Linked DNA regions of Coturnix japonica. The protein of the gene in region 1 interacts with the protein of each later gene in a pairwise test. Links are inferred from orthologs where the notes say so. Each region holds a gene or a part of one and is shown on either strand. Other genes may lie near its edges.

Region 1 (4,766 bases):
TCCATCCTCATCTTCATTTTCATTCTTATTATCATTCCATCTTCATTCTCATCCCTATCCCACCTTCATCCCCATCCCATCCTCATCCCATCCCTATCCCAATCCTCACCCATCACATCCTCATCCCATCCTCCCCTTCATCCTTACCTTCCTCCCATCTCCATCCTTACCCCATCTCCATCCCACTCCTCATCCATCTTCCTCTTTCTCTTTATCTCCACCCCATTCCATCTTCATTTTTCATCCTATTATGCATCCCATCCTCATCTTCATCCCCATCCCACCTTCATCTCCATCCCATCCATCCTCATCCCTCCCCATCCCATCTTTCATCCTCACCCACATCCTCATCCCATCCTCCCCTTCATCCTTATCTTCATCTACATCCCATCCTCATCCCCACCCCCATCCCAACCCCATTTCCATTGCACACTCATCCTCACGCTGATCTCCATCCCATCCTCATCCCCATCCTATATTCATTCACACCCCCATCCCACCTACATCTCCATCCCCATCCCCATCTCCACCTCATCCTCATCTTCATCCCATTCCCATCCCATCTTCATCTTCATTCTTATTATCATCCCACCTTCATTCTCATTCCCATCTCATCTTCATCCCCATCCCATCTTCATCCTCACCCACATCCTCATCCCATCCTCCCCATCATCCTTATCTTCATTCCCATCCCCATCCTCATCCCATCTTCCTCTTCATCTTCATTCTTATTCCATTCCATCTCATTCCTCATCCCCATTCCCATCTCATCTCATTCTTATTATCATCCCATCCTCATCCCCATCCCATCTTCATCTTCATCCTCACCCACATCCTCATCCCATCCTCCCCTTAATCCTTATCTTCATCCCCATCCCATCCCATCCTCATCCTCATCCCTATCCCACCTTCATTCCCATCCTCATCCCATCCCTATCCCATCTTCATCATCCTCACCCATCACATCCTCATCCCATCCTCCCCTTTTCATGCCCTTCATCCTTACCTTCCTCCCATCTCCATCCTTACCCCATCTCCATCCCCATCCTCATCCCATCTTCCTCTTCATCTTTATCTCCACCCCCATCCCATCTTCATCTTCATCCTTATTATCATCCCATCCTCATCTTCATCCCCATCCCACCTTCATCTCCATCCCATCCCATCCTCATCATCATCCCTATCCCATCCTCATCCCATCTTCATCCTCATCCCATCCTCCCCTTAATCTTTATCTTCATCTCCATCCCATCCCATCTTCATTTTCATCCTCACCCATCCCATCCTCATCCCATCCTCCCCTTCATCCTCATCTTCATCCCATCCCCATCCTTACCCCATCTTCATCCCATCTTCCTCTTCCTCTTCATTCTTATCATTCCATCTTCATCCTCATCCCCATCCCATCCTCATCCTCATCCCTACCCCATTCTCATCTTCATCCCTATCCCCATCCTCATCCCATCCTCATCCCATCTTCATCCTCACCCCCATCCTCATCCCATCCTCCCCTCCATCCCATCCCCATCCCATCCCCCCCCTCACCCCATCCTCATCCTCATTCATACAACGATGCCCCGCCCCCTCATTAAGCCCCGCCCCCAGACTACAAGGCCACGCCCCCAATCCTATTAGCCCCGCCCCCTCTGCTCCGTTCTGACACCTGATTGGTGGCCGCTCCTCGCCCCAAACCCTTCACTTTGCGCATGCGCAGCGTGGGGTGCGTCACCTCCAGTGGGCGGGGCTTAACGTGCAGGGCGGAAGTGGGTGGGAGGGCGGAAGTTAAACAAGGCGGAAGTAGGTGGGAGGGCGGAAGTAGTAGGGGCGGAAGTTAAACGAGGCGGAAGTAGGTGGGAGGGCGGAAGTTAAGCAGGCCGGAAGTAGGTGTGCGGCGGCGCTCTGGCTGCCGGTACCGACTCGTTGGTTGGGCCTGGAGGCCGCGGCCTGCTGTGGCCCGGCCCGGTCCGGAGGTAAGGCCTGAGCCCTGCGACCTACCCGCCCCCAGGCCCACCCCCATCCCGGAACCATGGAGAAATTCGGTATGAACTTCGGAGGAGGCCCGAGTAAAAAAGAACTGCTGGAAACCATCGAGTCGCAGAAGAAGCAGCTCCTGAATTACCAGGCCAGGCTGAAGGACGTGGTCATCGCCTACAAGAGCCTCATCAACGAGAAGGAGGCCTTGGAGGCCAGCCTGAAGGTGTTATCGGCGTCCCACGAGGCCGACATTGGGTTAAATGGGGCTCAGGCTCCATTTGTGGCCCCCTCCAGCTCTTCCTTTGCCTCCAGCTCTTCCCTTCCCTCCAACTCTTCTTTCCCCTCCAGCTCTTCCCTCCCCTCCGGCTCTTCCCCTCCTTCCAGCTCTCCCCATGTTGATCCCATGGATGATAAGAGCTCAGTTCACAGCGAGGACAGCATGGGAACGGCCGCCAGCGTGGACACAACAACCAGTTTGGGCAGCACGAAGGGCGAGCAGGGACCTGAGGATGAGAAACACGCAGCAGCTGTTAAATCAGATGAGGGGAATGGTTCCGAGGTCGGTACTGGTACCAGTAACAGCAATGGGGACGTGCCCTGTGCTGCCATTGAGGCCGATAAGCGGGTGCTGCAGCTGAAGAGCCAATTGGCCACATTGACCAGCGCCCTGTCCACGGTGACGCAGGAGAAGTCCCGCATGGAAGCGTCATATCAAGCCGACAAGAAGAAGATGAAGCAGGACCTGGATGACGCCATTAAAAAGGCGGAGGATGAGACTGACAGGTTGGAGACGGAGCTGAGGGTTGTACAGGAGCAGCTGGCAGAGACCAAAGCTCGACTGATCACGCAGCAGCACGACCGAGCCCAGGAGCAGAGCGACCACGCTGTTATGCTGAGGGAGCTGCAGAAGCTGCTGCAGAGCGAGAGGGCGTTGAGGCAGGACGCTGAGCTGAAGCTGGAGGAGACCAGGGAGGCATTGGCCGGCCGGGTGTGCATGGCTGATCGTGCTGAGGGCTACGAGCTGCAGATCAAGCAGCTGAGCCAGGAGGTGGAGGAGCTGAAGAGAGAACTGCAGGCTGTTCAGGAGGAGAGGAAGAAGCCGGACCCCCGGGTGCAAGACCTGCAGGAGGAGATGGCCAACCTGAAGAGCCACTTCCAAGCGCAGCTGCTGCAGGAGATGAGGAAGGTAATTCCCTGCTTGAGCCCTAGAGCAGCCCAATGTAGGGGGTACCAGAGCAGCAGATGGAGGCTTGAGGAGCCCAAATTCTCCCTGTGCCACATGCCACAAAGTCCGAAAGATTTCAGATAGGAGAAAATACCATAGTTTCATCTGATGGGATCATATACCCTGAGGAAAATTAAAGCTGTTGGCAATGCAGTGTATAAATCAGTTAACCACGGGTGGTTTAGGAGCAGTCTTTGTGGGAGTTACGTGGTGAGCATCGCTTGGTTCCGAGCAGCAGCTGGATTTGGGAGGAGAGCAGTGGCAATGAGCGTGCTCTCATCATAAATGCAATGCAAGGTTCGGTTCGGACTCTCTTAAAGGGAACTGACCTCCACATCCCCCTGCATGGAACTGTAATAGGTGAGCGGTGAGGCAGGTGGGCGATAAGGGCGGCCTGCTGAGCGAGGTGCTGGGCTGTGCATCTTGCTGTGTGTCTCTGCAGGCTGTGGGGCAGAGGGATGGAGGGCTTTGCTGCTGAGTTGGCAGCTGGAAGGACACCAGCATGGGATCCTCATTTCCCCACAGTCTGGAATAAGTTTTCAGCTTTCTAATCTGAAGCCTCTAATTATCAGCTTCGGGCTGATGGGATGCGATTAACCTTGTTTTGGAAGTGATACCCAGCAGCTTCTGTACGACAGGGCTGAGGATGGGCTGATCCCAGCTGTGTTTTGGCTCACAGTGGGGACTGAGGAGTGGTGCCACCTTCCACGTGCTCTTTAGGAGGTCAGATCTCGATGGTGATAGAAGCTGTGAGCTCCAGTGTTTGCTGTAGCTACTCAGAGCCCACTGAATTACGTTAATATTGGTGTAACAAAGCTTAGCATTTAGGTACAGTTAGGTGTAGGAAAGCTTTAGGGCACACTCAGACATGAAAAAATCCCACAGTGAGGTGAGCTTTGTGCTTCATGCCCTGCACATGCCTCCAGCAATGCACATTAATGCTGCTAACAGCAGGGAACAAATACAGAAACGCACTCGGTTTGTTTCATCCTTGAGTCTCTGTTTTAAAGATGGGCGTGTGAGAGTGTGGGGTGGGGGAGGATTGTTTGGAAACTAGGGAAAGGGTGTCCCTGTGCTTGCTTGGAGTTGTTCAGAGCAGAATGAAGGCCTGTGTAATTGCAGGGTGGTCTAACACCGCTGCATTTCTTTGCTTACAGACTGCACAAGCAGAGGAGCAGCTCCGGCAGCACGCCCAGATGGAGGAGCAGCGCGTGGCCGACCTGGAGGGGCAGGTCTCTGAGGTGTCAGGGCTGCTGGGCACCTACGAGAAGGCCAAACAGAAGGACCAAATGGTCATCCAGAAACTGAAGGATCGCATCGTGCAGCTGGACCAGGAGAACAAAACCTTGGCCATCGCAGCCTCCAGCCGATCCCCTGCTGATGTGAACGTGGAAGAAGCCAATCTGGATGTGAACGTTCTCAAGGATAAGATGGAGAAGCTGAAGAAGCTGCTGCAGGTGGCAGCAAAGAAGAGTCAGCCCACGCTGGACATCGAGAAGCTGTGTGAGCTGGAGCTGCCAAAAGGTACCGAGGCCGGGGATGGTGAGAAGGCCACGGCTCTGTACTA
Region 2 (4,210 bases), about 170 Mb from region 1:
ATGACAGCTTTAATATGCGAATGCAGAAGCAAACCTTTTGTTTGAGCTGAAGACTGACAGGAAGCCAAACCAATGCTTTGGCACAAAAATAGACCAAGCATTCACTCAGTCAGTTGTTTTAGCTGGAGGGTATAGCTCAAGTTGTGCAGCAAGAACGTGTCTCACTACATCTTCAGTGACAGAAACACTGTGGAAATTCAGTGATATTCCCAAAGCATTTTTCTCCTTTCCTGCAATCAAATAGTATTCCAAAATCCCCCTTCCAAGCTCAGCTCTCAGAATGGTTATATCCCACAGGTAACGTAGAATCCTCAGCTATCACCAAGAGGTAAGCACTGAACTAAGTCTCAAACAACCTGAAATGGAAAGGTATGAGAGCTCAAAGATACAGGATGTGTTCATTTCCTAGTAGCTGGCTACTAGAACAAACACCCAACCAGGTCTACAAGGCAGAAAACATCTCTGGTGTGAAGACAGCTCTACCTCTGTGCTTCAGTGCCCTGCGAATCAGCATTTGCTTGGCAGCTGAGAAGCCAGCATGTGCATGGCTTCAGCAGGGCAGCTGCTGCTTCTCACCACCTGGCAATTAGGGAAGATAAGAAAAACAGGAGGGGTAGGCAGCACAGCCACAACAGGAAGCTCATTGCTTCTGCTGCTCACAGAACAGCGCTCTGGTTTTGTCTCATGGTTAGCATTAAGACAAGATGACTAGCAACAACAATTCTTTAAAGCACACAACATGCACATATATTCAAATTATAGATGATATGCAAAAACCAGAGCCCTTGCCACGCTTATAGAGAACAGCCTCCATCATCAGACACAGGCATGCTCAGATCCTCTCAGTCAGCTGTCCAGGCACTGCAGGACTACCATTACACTGCTCTTACACTAATGCACTTGGGAGTTGCACGCTCTGATGAGGAGACCATCACATGAATGTGAATCTCAGTACCTCCTTTTTACATCTTTATGTGTCTTGAAGGCAATACTGAGTAACAGCTCAACGATTAAAAAGCACACACACAACCTCTGTTCAGTCAGAGTCTGGATAACACTTGCACAGCAAGGTTAAAACAGGAACATGTTTGAGTCCAGAACTATCCCCAGTACCACCTTCCAACAACACACTGCCTGCTCTAAAAGGGGGGAGAAAATCAGCAGGTAAAAGCCTCTCCCTCTTTAAAGCCTTTTGTAGTTCTCATACTTCAGAGTCCTGTGGTGTCTCTCCAGCAGTAGAAAGGATGAGGATTGGATTTCAGAAGCCAACAGCACAGATGGTACAAAGAAACAGATATGACCGAACATGGCCATGCTGAACTTTTAAAAGCTACTGGTTCAAAATGTATCCTGAAAAAGCAGATTAAATGCATTGCCAGCCAACCAGGGCTGGAGGGCAGGCAATGCCAGACTGCAGAATTCTGCCCACAAAATAACTGCATTTCTTAAGGCAAGTGGCAATTAAAAAAAAAAAAAGAACTAACAAACACAAACCAACTGAAAACAGAACCAACAACACACACAGCTCTGTTATTGTCATATAGCTACAAAGTGCTGCATACAGTAAGCAAGATTTTTATCTGTTACAGCACACACAACAGACCTCTGCCATGGACTGCATTGTAGTAAGCCTGGTGTACTCCTTCTCCAACAAGTCCAGCTTCTCCAGCTTTGACTGAACACGTGATTGATCGAGCCGTTCTCTCTCCAATGAATCCTTGAAGGAGAAGTAAAAAGGCAAATGATTATAAGCACAGGAAAACAAGCACACATATAAAATCAGAGAATTACCCAGGTTGGAAAAGACCTTAAGATCAACAAGTCCAACTGCAGCCTAACCATAGTATCCTAACTCTAACAACCCTCTGCTAAATCATATCTGAGCACCACATCCAAATGGCTCTTAAACATATCCAGGGATGGCGATTAAACCACCTCCCTGGGGAGCCTATTCCAGTGTTTAACCATGCTTTCTGTAAAGAAGTGTTTCCTCACATCCAACCTAAACTTACCTTGACACAACTTGAGGCCATTTCCCCTCATCCTGTCACCGGTGAGAAGAGACTTGTCCCGCTCTCACTTTAAGAACCTTTCAGATACTGGAAGAGAGCGATAAGGTCTCCCCTCAGCCTCCTTTTCCTCAGACTGAACAGCTCCAGTTCCCTCAGCCTCTTAGGGCTGATTCTCCAAGCCCTTCACAAGCCTCATTGCCCTTCTCTTCTGGACCTGCTCCAGCACCTCCATGTCCTTTTTGTACCGAGGTGCCAAAAACTGAACACAGTACTCGAGGTGAGGCCTCACCAATGGTGAGTACAGGGGCAGGATGACTTCCCTAGTCCTGCTCACCACACCATTCCTGATACAAGACAGGATGGCATTGGCTTTCTTGGCCACCTGGGCACATCACTGGCTCATATTCAGCCAACTGTCCATCAGCACACCAAGGTCCCTTTCCATCAGGCAGCTTTCCAGCCACACCTCCCCAAGCCTGTAGGGTTGCCTGGGGTTGTTGCAACCGAAATGCAGGACCCAACACTTGGCCCTATTGAAACTCATGCTGTTAACCTCGGCCTTATAACTGCAACACAAGGAAGGACTGCAAAAGAACTACTTCATCTATCCAGTGTTAAGTGGTGCTACAACTAAGGAGCATTGGCACAGTAAAATAAGGCATTGCCACGGCTGGGAACTCCACCCATGCTGGGAATCTCACATCAAGCCAGACTCAGATAAAGATTCTGCAGCCTCCCCTCCTTCCAAACCAAATATGACAAAAATAAAATATTATTGCTCAGCAATTAGAGGCAATTTTCTTTATTTTAATCCTTCAGTAAATGTTTAATAGTCTGAAATAGGGGAGCCACAGAAGCAAATGAACAGAGAGCCCTGGGTGATCCACACACCCATGAGAGAAAGTTCAAGTTCATTTCTGATATAGGGCAAATCCCACAATAGCCAATGACAGGAAAAATAATTCACCATCATTTCTTTCAATTAGTACTTTCCCTGATAAAATCTCAATAGATTTTAAAGCCAATGACAAAAGGGAAGGTTTGTCCATTGACAGTTATTTTACTCCAAGGCACAGGAGCTAAGGCAAGTGAGAATTACTTGCTGGTGCATGACACAGTAATACCGGAGCCTTTGGTATTGCCATAGAGACAGATGTACAAAGGTAAAAAGCAAATAAATACCAGGGTCCTAACAACACTGAAAATTAAACAGGGCAATTATTCACAGCCAAGTATATAAAGGCCAGCTCAAACAGACATCCACACCTGAAGGCATTAACTCTAAAATATAAGGACAGAGTTAATACCATTATAGTTTTTTGCCCATTCAATCCTGAGAACACACCTGCTTCTCCAAGAGCTGCGTCTTCTCCCTTTCCGCGTGCTGGATCATCTTTCTCATGTAGTCCAGCTGTTTCTCTAACAGGCTGTACCGAGACTCAGCAGCCGCCAGCTGAGAAGCCAGTTCTGCAAGTAACAGAAGGCCAAAAAGTGAGATTAAGGGCTGCTCGTTGGGGTTGTTTTTTAACATCTTCAGGACGCTTCAAAAACAAGCAAGGAAAGGCTCATCTAAAACTCAGATAAAGCCGAATCAACTCTTACACACATGCAAACCCCCCCAGAACAAAGTCAGCTTTTAAATCAACAAAACTCCATGCTTCGCTACCAAATAGAGACCGAACAAAGTCAGCTTCACACACTGATGAAGCCCAGACTTCATCCACCTCAACATTCAGTGTTACCTACAGCAACCAACCTTGATTTTTCTTTGACACTTCAGTTCTGTCGCGCTCTCTGTGCTTCATTTGCTCACTCAGTACTTTCTTGTAGTCTGCTGTTTCTCTGCTGAGGTGTTTGACGTTCTCCTCTGCCTGAAGCCGTTCCAACTCCAGCCGACGAATTTTCTCCTGAAGATTCCTCAGAGCAGAAAATATTGCTGTAATTGAGTGAGTATCTTTTGTTAGTTGCTATTATAAGCATGGTTCAAGTTTGATGTTACCTTGAAAGGTTTGCTACATAAGAAAGAGAGTGCTCCCCCCCACCAGCCAGGATTGCCTCCATGAATGAAGCTCCCATTGCTCAGCAGGAGCCAGGCAAATATCCTGTAGATAAAGTGCAAACAGGGCACCTCCTGTCTTATCAACTGGGAATTAAAAGTGACAGCTGAACAATTAAAGCAGCAGCGACTTCTCTGCCTC

The links. The genes of interacting proteins can lie anywhere in the genome.
Region 2: the proteins of GCC1 (region 1) and CEP57 interact in binary tests that used the Homo sapiens proteins (3 or more experiments, as listed by UniProt). The two-hybrid records come from large-scale screens. The link is inferred for Coturnix japonica from reciprocal best matches to the Homo sapiens genes GCC1 and CEP57.

Annotation. Positions count from the first base shown.
Region 1 is NC_029516.1:516,402-521,167, forward strand, and holds the start of GCC1 (GRIP and coiled-coil domain-containing protein 1), read left to right. Parts: upstream 1-1,833; 5' UTR 1,834-2,026; coding exon 2,027-3,160; intron 3,161-4,356; coding exon 4,357-4,766. UniProt on the Homo sapiens protein: Probably involved in maintaining Golgi structure.
Region 2 is NC_029516.1:165,700,519-165,704,728, forward strand, and holds part of CEP57 (centrosomal protein of 57 kDa), read right to left. Parts: intron 3,949-4,210; coding exon 3,769-3,948; intron 3,480-3,768; coding exon 3,358-3,479; intron 1,718-3,357; coding exon 1,604-1,717; intron 1-1,603. UniProt on the Homo sapiens protein: Centrosomal protein which may be required for microtubule attachment to centrosomes. May act by forming ring-like structures around microtubules. Mediates nuclear translocation and mitogenic activity of the internalized growth factor FGF2, but that of FGF1.